Saccharomyces cerevisiae S288C: one gene and its partner. The protein of the gene in region 2 interacts with the protein of the main gene of each other region in a pairwise test. Each region holds a gene or a part of one and is shown on either strand. Other genes may lie near its edges.

Region 1 (4,614 bases), on a different chromosome or scaffold from region 2:
AGTGTACGTTGAATCCGGATTTCTGTTTTTGGCAACATTTACGGCCCAAAGTGCAACCACAAGAGAAATTATATCGTTTAGCATATGGAATGAGTCCGCGATTAGAGCCAAAGAGTGAGACAAGTACCCGGTAGTTATCTCGATCCCGAAGAACACTGTGTCTAGCAGCAACAAGGATATAATTTTTACCTGTTTGCTTCCGAGTTTCATATTTACTCAATCTTTCCGTACTTTGTGTTAACTTTCTTTCTATAGCTATGCAGAACTATTCTGAGCAAAGTGAAAATAATTGGTTACTAAATAGAACCAGAAATGCTTTTCGAGCTCCCACGTAGAATATATAAGACCAATAAATTCCTTTATTGTACGGATATTCTGCATTACAAATGAGTCTTCTGCTTTATGCGGATCGTCAGCTTATATTGCCTTCGTACAGAAAATGAAAATTCACTACTGGAAACGGGTGAGCGGATGTATGAGTGTATAGTATACACCCGGTTTTTTTTACCCTTTCTAAGACCGGAGCTGGCGACAGTAAGTGATAAGCGGCCGTTGGCGGCCGTGGGTGAGTTATGCATGGGAACCAGCATGAGCCAGCGATGTTCACTATAAAGAGATTAAATGTAGAAAGTGCTGAGAGACCGATCGATTGGTAAACTTTTCAAAAGGTGGCCTTCTCCACACTTTCTTTTTCCCTCGTTCACTCTGCCTTGATCACATGCTTTTTTCTATGGTTAACTTTGAAAAATTCGTTCCATATCGCCCGCCACAAGTTAAAACCAGATATGCGTGGGATATAGTAGGGTGGACTGTTAAGTTAGCTATAATGGGCTTGTACTCTTTTTGAATACAAAAACCACCTTTCTACACCTTAATACAAGCGGTGGTTGGAAAGCATTCTTGATATATATAATTATATGAGTTTTGAAAAAAAGTACTGGGCATCATTTAAATAAGCGGGCTAAACTTTGTTTATGTTTAGGTTAACGATAGACATATTTATTTTTTTTTCTAGGAATAAAAATGAAGAACGGGAAGAAAAGGAAAAATGAAAATGAAGAATATGAAGAGTAAACCTACTTAAAAAAAAAAACCATACTTTAGTATTTAATGTAGCTACCACGCGTATTCGATACACTATTATTTTTCTTGACTTAGTATGTCAATTGTAGGTAGCCTCATGATGCCCTCTTGATCTAAGCGCGGTGAAAGTCCGCAGGCAATTGCTATAATACTGACAAAATTTATAAGGGGAGAGGGTCTTTTTTCGGTCCGCACGGAGCGGGCGAAGAAAACGTAGCGGTGAGAAAAGAATACGTCACCAAAGTATCAGAAACGTCACTGCGTTGTAGATGTAAGACCGATCCACTTTGCCAGCTGCTTACGCTGCGGAAAGTAAACAGACCTAGCTAGCGGACCGATAGAGCCGGCTGAACTTTATAACAAATGCGCCTTCTAACAAGCGATGAAGCCATGCTTAGCGCGGCAAAGAGAATTACTTAGAATATGGATGATGCAGCCCTGTCATATTCTTCCATAAGGGAATGACAAGGACAATAGTAAAGTCGATCACGCCCTGTCAGGAACATGATCTCCGCCATGTGAATATTTATGCATGATACAGGCACGAATACATCATATAATACGAATGACACAGGGGCACCCACCCATCGCATATCAGGAGAACTTCCCTGTGCATACGGGACAGCAGAGATAGGCTGTTCTCGCGCGTTTTTTTTTTTTTTTTGCTTTTTTTGGTTCCTTTCGCGGATATCGTATTATCGATATTACAACAAAAATGTTTGGAGATCTCCTTCGCTGTCTTTAAGTAAAAGGCTTTAACCGCTTATTTTTCTCTCTTTTTTTCCTTTTACCCCTCACTTGTCGTGAGACAATTGTAGTATATTTAGTAAGTATAGAAAGTTCTTGTTGTTAAAAAACTCGTTAGGATACAATAAAAACTAGAACAAACACAAAAGACAAAAAAAGACAACAATATGGTTGCTCAATATACCGTTCCAGTTGGGAAAGCCGCCAATGAGCATGAAACTGCTCCAAGAAGAAATTATCAATGCCGCGAGAAGCCGCTCGTCAGACCGCCTAACACAAAGTGTTCCACTGTTTATGAGTTTGTTCTAGAGTGCTTTCAGAAGAACAAAAATTCAAATGCTATGGGTTGGAGGGATGTTAAGGAAATTCATGAAGAATCCAAATCGGTTATGAAAAAAGTTGATGGCAAGGAGACTTCAGTGGAAAAGAAATGGATGTATTATGAACTATCGCATTATCATTATAATTCATTTGACCAATTGACCGATATCATGCATGAAATTGGTCGTGGGTTGGTGAAAATAGGATTAAAGCCTAATGATGATGACAAATTACATCTTTACGCAGCCACTTCTCACAAGTGGATGAAGATGTTCTTAGGAGCGCAGTCTCAAGGTATTCCTGTCGTCACTGCCTACGATACTTTGGGAGAGAAAGGGCTAATTCATTCTTTGGTGCAAACGGGGTCTAAGGCCATTTTTACCGATAACTCTTTATTACCATCCTTGATCAAACCAGTGCAAGCCGCTCAAGACGTAAAATACATAATTCATTTCGATTCCATCAGTTCTGAGGACAGGAGGCAAAGTGGTAAGATCTATCAATCTGCTCATGATGCCATCAACAGAATTAAAGAAGTTAGACCTGATATCAAGACCTTTAGCTTTGACGACATCTTGAAGCTAGGTAAAGAATCCTGTAACGAAATCGATGTTCATCCACCTGGCAAGGATGATCTTTGTTGCATCATGTATACGTCTGGTTCTACAGGTGAGCCAAAGGGTGTTGTCTTGAAACATTCAAATGTTGTCGCAGGTGTTGGTGGTGCAAGTTTGAATGTTTTGAAGTTTGTGGGCAATACCGACCGTGTTATCTGTTTTTTGCCACTAGCTCATATTTTTGAATTGGTTTTCGAACTATTGTCCTTTTATTGGGGGGCCTGCATTGGTTATGCCACCGTAAAAACTTTAACTAGCAGCTCTGTGAGAAATTGTCAAGGTGATTTGCAAGAATTCAAGCCCACAATCATGGTTGGTGTCGCCGCTGTTTGGGAAACAGTGAGAAAAGGGATCTTAAACCAAATTGATAATTTGCCCTTCCTCACCAAGAAAATCTTCTGGACCGCGTATAATACCAAGTTGAACATGCAACGTCTCCACATCCCTGGTGGCGGCGCCTTAGGAAACTTGGTTTTCAAAAAAATCAGAACTGCCACAGGTGGCCAATTAAGATATTTGTTAAACGGTGGTTCTCCAATCAGTCGGGATGCTCAGGAATTCATCACAAATTTAATCTGCCCTATGCTTATTGGTTACGGTTTAACCGAGACATGCGCTAGTACCACCATCTTGGATCCTGCTAATTTTGAACTCGGCGTCGCTGGTGACCTAACAGGTTGTGTTACCGTCAAACTAGTTGATGTTGAAGAATTAGGTTATTTTGCTAAAAACAACCAAGGTGAAGTTTGGATCACAGGTGCCAATGTCACGCCTGAATATTATAAGAATGAGGAAGAAACTTCTCAAGCTTTAACAAGCGATGGTTGGTTCAAGACCGGTGACATCGGTGAATGGGAAGCAAATGGCCATTTGAAAATAATTGACAGGAAGAAAAACTTGGTCAAAACAATGAACGGTGAATATATCGCACTCGAGAAATTAGAGTCCGTTTACAGATCTAACGAATATGTTGCTAACATTTGTGTTTATGCCGACCAATCTAAGACTAAGCCAGTTGGTATTATTGTACCAAATCATGCTCCATTAACGAAGCTTGCTAAAAAGTTGGGAATTATGGAACAAAAAGACAGTTCAATTAATATCGAAAATTATTTGGAGGATGCAAAATTGATTAAAGCTGTTTATTCTGATCTTTTGAAGACAGGTAAAGACCAAGGTTTGGTTGGCATTGAATTACTAGCAGGCATAGTGTTCTTTGACGGCGAATGGACTCCACAAAACGGTTTTGTTACGTCCGCTCAGAAATTGAAAAGAAAAGACATTTTGAATGCTGTCAAAGATAAAGTTGACGCCGTTTATAGTTCGTCTTAATGGATCAACATTTCCATGATAGGAAAGCCTCATCATACTAAAGCACTTTTTCAGTTTTTTGCTTTAGAACTGCTACCAATTATAAAATAGAATGCACAGGTTATCTTGTTTGGTTTGTTATTATCCTTTTTTCTTCTTTACCAGTCATATCACCTCATTCACGTATGTTCGTAATTTATAATGTTAAAAATGGCATATATAGATATATTTATGAACATCCTAAAAAATAACTAAATTTTTCTACATTTCAAAAAAGGTAACGTTGACTGCCGCATGGCAGTCTAATTAGGAGCTTAGTGATACATATATATATATATATAAATTTCGGCCAAGACACCTCACATAAGAAGCATTACCAGAGGTGTCCTGATCTGAGATGGACCCTGTCTCATTTGTTGAGTTGACAAAATATCAGGGAAATTGATTACCCTGGTGTGCACTGACTCCTTAGTACTCATTTTCACAGCTTCGTACACATCATGGAAGACAAACCATAGCAACCAGCCGCTCTCAT
Region 2 (5,112 bases):
ATTCTGATTCTGATTCTGGCTCTTCAGGTAGTGAGGATGATTCTGCAGATCAGGACGTTGAAGGAGAGGACGAAGGTGGTGACGCGATTGAAAATGAAGACGAAGACGAAGACCCTTCACCTTCCGGTCCTATACTATCGAAGAACGAAATACTAGAGGAAACTGTTCCTGAACTACCGGAAGATTATGAAATTTCAGAAAAAACGATCATCACTCCTATTGGTGTTTTGAAGTCTGCATTTGAAAATAATATAATCATTCACGCCACGATGTCGGGCGAAAAGCGTGTTTTAAAAGAGGGTTCCATTTTCTGTCTCGAGGATAGAACTTTGATCGGGATGTTGACGGAGGTGTTTGGACCCTTGCAAAACCCATTTTATAGAATTAAGTTGCCCGATTCAAAAAAAAACTTATTCGATGAATTAAAAGTGCGTTTGGGTGAGAAAGCCTTTATAGTCACCCCTGATGCCCACTGGATAGATACTTTCGAGTTAAAGCGCAACAAAGGTACTGATGCGTCTAATGGGTACGATGAAGAATTACCTGAAGAGGAACAAGAATTTTCCGACGACGAAAAAGAGGCCCTTTTCAAGAAAATGAAGAAACAGCAACGGCAACGAAAGAAAAGGGACAACCGCAAACTAGCCAACGATAGTGACAATGTCAAGGTAAAGAGAGCTCGGCAGCCCAAGGCCAACAGTTTACCTAAACTGGTACCGCCGTTGGGCATGAGCAGTAATGCTCCGATGCAACATGGGTACAAATCAAGAAACGCACGTGAAAATATCAAGCGTGAATCCAGTGCTACCTCTAATCGGAATGGCTCCTCCCCAGTGCCAATCACACAGCACCACCAACAACAGTTTTCTGCAAATAATTATCCCTTCCCTCAACAACCAAACGGTATGCCTTATCCACCATACTCACCTTTCCCTCAGCCGACTAACTTCCAGTATCCACCTCCACCATTTGGGCAGGCGACACCGGCCCAATTCTCCAACACTGTTCCATATGGTAGCTTACCTCCCGCATACAACAATATGTCGCCGCCAACACAGCAGTCGTTCATGCCAATGACCCAAAGTCAACCGCCACTTCCATATGGCGTACCTCCCATGAATCAAATGCAAAACCCAATGTACATCCAACCGCCACCTCAAGCACCTCCTCAGGGAAATGGTAATTTCCAACAAGTAATGGAATTACATCAAATACTTTTGCAGCAACAGCAACAGCAACACCAGTATCAGCATCAGCATCAGCAAGATCCAAGAACCTAGAGTCACGATTGAAATATTTAATAATAAATGCTATGTATCATAGATAAACTAGAAAGAGGCAAGAAAAATTTAACAAGTTTCTTAATTGAATATTATTTTACTGTCACTACCATTATTAGACGCCATCTCAGCGTGTGACATGATAATTTTTCTTTTTTTCTTTTTTTTTCCTCAAGGCGATGATATGAAACTTTCAAAAAATTTATATGTAAATAAAAAAGTTCTACGAGGGTTTAAATACGGAAGTTTATTTAGAAGATATTTATACTCTGAATACACACGTAGAGTACAGTAAAGGTTTTTTAGATCTACTAATGACCATATCGTTGAGCAATATAAAGAAAAGAGACCATTCTAAAATTTCCGATGGAACTTCTGGTGAATCATCGCTTGTAAAAAGGAAACAGTTGGAAAGCGCCACCGGAGATCAAGAGGAAGAATATACAGACCATGAAATCATTATAGAGCCGTTGCACTTTGCTAATAATAATAACACTGTACTCACAGATTCAGAAAATTATCTAAGATGGCAAAATACCATCTCCAACGTTGTTAAATCAGTGGTTTCCATTCATTTTTCACAAGTTGCGCCATTCGATTGCGATTCTGCTTTGGTATCTGAAGCTACCGGATTTGTCGTGGATGCTAAATTAGGTATAATTCTGACCAATAGGCACGTCGTTGGTCCTGGTCCGTTCGTAGGCTACGTAGTTTTCGATAATCATGAAGAATGCGATGTTATACCAATTTACAGAGATCCTGTTCATGATTTTGGGTTCCTCAAATTCGATCCGAAAAACATAAAATATTCTAAGATCAAAGCGTTAACGCTAAAACCAAGTTTGGCTAAGGTCGGCTCAGAAATTAGAGTTGTCGGTAATGATGCCGGTGAGAAATTAAGTATCCTAGCAGGTTTTATTAGTAGAATTGACAGGAACGCTCCAGAATATGGTGAGCTGACATACAATGACTTCAATACAGAATATATTCAAGCTGCTGCATCTGCTTCTGGCGGTTCAAGTGGTTCTCCAGTCGTAAATATAGATGGGTATGCTGTGGCTTTACAGGCAGGTGGCTCTACAGAGGCATCTACTGATTTTTTTTTACCGTTAGATAGAATTCTTAGAGCGTTAATTTGCATCCAAACCAACAAACCTATCACACGTGGTACGATTCAAGTTCAATGGCTGCTGAAGCCTTATGACGAGTGTAGAAGATTAGGTTTAACTTCAGAGAGAGAAAGTGAGGCTCGTGCTAAATTTCCCGAAAATATCGGACTGTTGGTAGCAGAAACCGTTTTAAGAGAAGGCCCAGGCTATGATAAAATTAAAGAAGGTGATACTCTAATTTCAATAAACGGTGAAACCATATCTTCTTTCATGCAAGTGGATAAAATTCAAGATGAAAATGTTGGGAAGGAAATCCAATTGGTTATTCAAAGGGGCGGTGTCGAATGTACTGTCACCTGCACTGTTGGTGATTTACATGCTATCACCCCTCATCGTTATGTAGAGGTTTGTGGTGCGACTTTTCATGAATTATCATATCAAATGGCAAGGTTTTATGCGCTACCTGTCAGGGGTGTATTTTTAAGTAGTGCATCAGGGTCTTTCAACTTTGATTCAAAAGAAAGAGTGGGTTGGATTGTGGATTCTATAGACAATAAGGAAACCCCCGACTTAGATACATTTATTGAAATTATGAAAACTATTCCAGATCGTAAGCGCGTTACTGTACGATACCACCATCTAACAGATCAGCATTCTCCACTTGTTACTTCTATTTACATTGACCGTCATTGGTGCAATGAATTCAGAGTTTACACAAGGAACGATACAACTGGTATTTGGGATTACAAAAATGTTGCTGATCCACTTCCAGCCGATGCGTTGAAACCTCGTTCGGCCAAAATTATTCCTATTCCTGTTAATAATGAAAAAGTTGCAAAATTGTCATCATCGTTATGTACAGTGGCTACAATGGCAGCAGTTCCATTGGATTCACTTTCTGCTGATATTTTAAAAACATCAGGCTTAATCATTGATGCTGAAAAAGGTTATGTCCTAGTGTCCAGAAGGGTAGTTCCACATGATTGTCTTGATACTTTTGTCACCATTGCAGATTCCCTTGTAGTTCCAGCCACAGTAGAATTTCTCCATCCAACTCACAACTTCGCTATTGTTAAATATGATCCAGAGTTAGTAAAGGCTCCACTAATCACTCCCAAGCTATCTACCACCAGAATGAAACGTGGTGATAAGCTTCAGTTTATAGGTTTTACCCAGAATGATAGAATTGTTACTTCAGAGACCACTGTCACCGATATTTCCTCTGTAAGTATTCCAAGTAATTTAATTCCGAGGTACCGTGCCACTAATTTAGAAGCTATATCTATCGACTGCAACGTTAGCACCAGATGTAATTCCGGTATTTTGACAGATAATGATGGTACAGTAAGAGGTTTATGGCTTCCATTTTTAGGCGAAAGATTAGAAAATAAAGAAAAGGTTTATTTGATGGGATTAGATATAATGGACTGTAGGGAAGTTATAGATATCTTAAAAAATGGCGGTAAACCAAGAGTAAGTATAGTTGATGCTGGGTTCGGTTCAATTTCCGTTCTGCAAGCCAGAATTAGAGGTGTGCCCGAAGAATGGATCATGCGTATGGAACATGAATCAAATAACAGGCTACAGTTTATCACTGTTTCTAGAGTTTCTTATACAGAAGACAAGATTCATTTAGAGACCGGTGACGTCATTTTATCTGTGAACGGAAAATTAGTCACTGAAATGAATGATTTGAATGGAGTTGTAAGCTCAGCTGATGGTATTTTGCCATCAGCCATGTTAGATTTTAAAGTTGTTCGTGATGGTAATATTGTTGATTTGAAAATTAAAACCGTGGAAGTTCAGGAAACCGACCGTTTTGTAATATTTGCAGGTAGTATCTTACAAAAGCCGCATCATGCTGTTTTGCAAGCTATGGTTGATGTTCCAAAGGGTGTCTACTGTACATTCAGGGGAGAATCGTCACCGGCGCTCCAGTACGGTATATCTGCCACAAACTTCATAACTCATGTCAATGAAATTGAAACACCTGATCTAGATACATTTTTGAAAGTTGTCAAAACAATCCCTGATAATAGTTATTGTAAAATGAGGTTAATGACTTTCGACAATGTGCCCTTCGCTATTTCACTGAAAACGAATTATCATTACTTCCCTACTGCAGAATTGAAGAGGGACAACATCACGCACAAATGGATTGAAAAGGAATTTACCGGCAACAGCCAAAGTGAAAAATAGGCCAGATTTGATAAAACATTTATATATGTATGTATGTATGTATACATCAAAGTCTTCCATAAAGAACAGTTTTTTTATAGACTATCACAGGAGCGTTAAGATTTACAAGTTTTTCAATCATTTTGAGGGGTTAGGATTATGATGTCGAGATGGTTGCAAGCGCCTGACGAAATAGTATTTAATTACTTCAACGCTTGAATTCTCTAAGGTATTATCGATTGTATAAATTTATGGTTATTGTTTCATACTTATTTATATACATGAAGACCGAAAGCAAATACTCAAACAATTGATTTGGGGTTAACGGTGCGTTTGGTTTAGAGGAGAACATAATTATTCCACCTTCAATGATAGGGTAATAACCGCTTTAGATGCTTTGAATAAGCTGGATGGGCAATTTTCCTTCCGGTTAAGGCTTTTAATGATCTATGGGACCAGCCTATATTGCCATGTTTTCTTCCAGCTATGCCTCTTTTAAAAGTATTACCGGTACGCCTCCACCTCTTTGCTGTACCTTTATGAGT

The links. The genes of interacting proteins can lie anywhere in the genome.
Region 1: the proteins of NMA111 (region 2) and FAA1 interact in a two-hybrid assay, tested with the Saccharomyces cerevisiae proteins (one study listed by BioGRID).

What each region holds. Positions count from the first base shown.
Region 1 is NC_001147.6:907,346-911,959, forward strand, and holds FAA1 (long-chain fatty acid-CoA ligase FAA1), read left to right. Parts: upstream 1-1,997; coding exon 1,998-4,100; downstream 4,101-4,614. Other genes in the region: metal cation transporter COT1, read right to left, coding at 1-210; YOR316C-A (uncharacterized protein), read right to left, coding at 381-590. UniProt on the Saccharomyces cerevisiae protein: Activates long-chain fatty acids (LCFA) by esterification of the fatty acids into metabolically active CoA-thioesters for subsequent degradation or incorporation into phospholipids.
Region 2 is NC_001146.8:393,091-398,202, forward strand, and holds NMA111 (Nma111p), read left to right. Parts: upstream 1-1,594; coding exon 1,595-4,588; downstream 4,589-5,112. Other genes in the region: NAF1 (RNA-binding snoRNP assembly protein), read left to right, coding at 1-1,280; mitochondrial 54S ribosomal protein bL35m MRP35, read right to left, coding at 4,933-5,112. UniProt on the Saccharomyces cerevisiae protein: Nuclear serine protease which mediates apoptosis through proteolysis of the apoptotic inhibitor BIR1.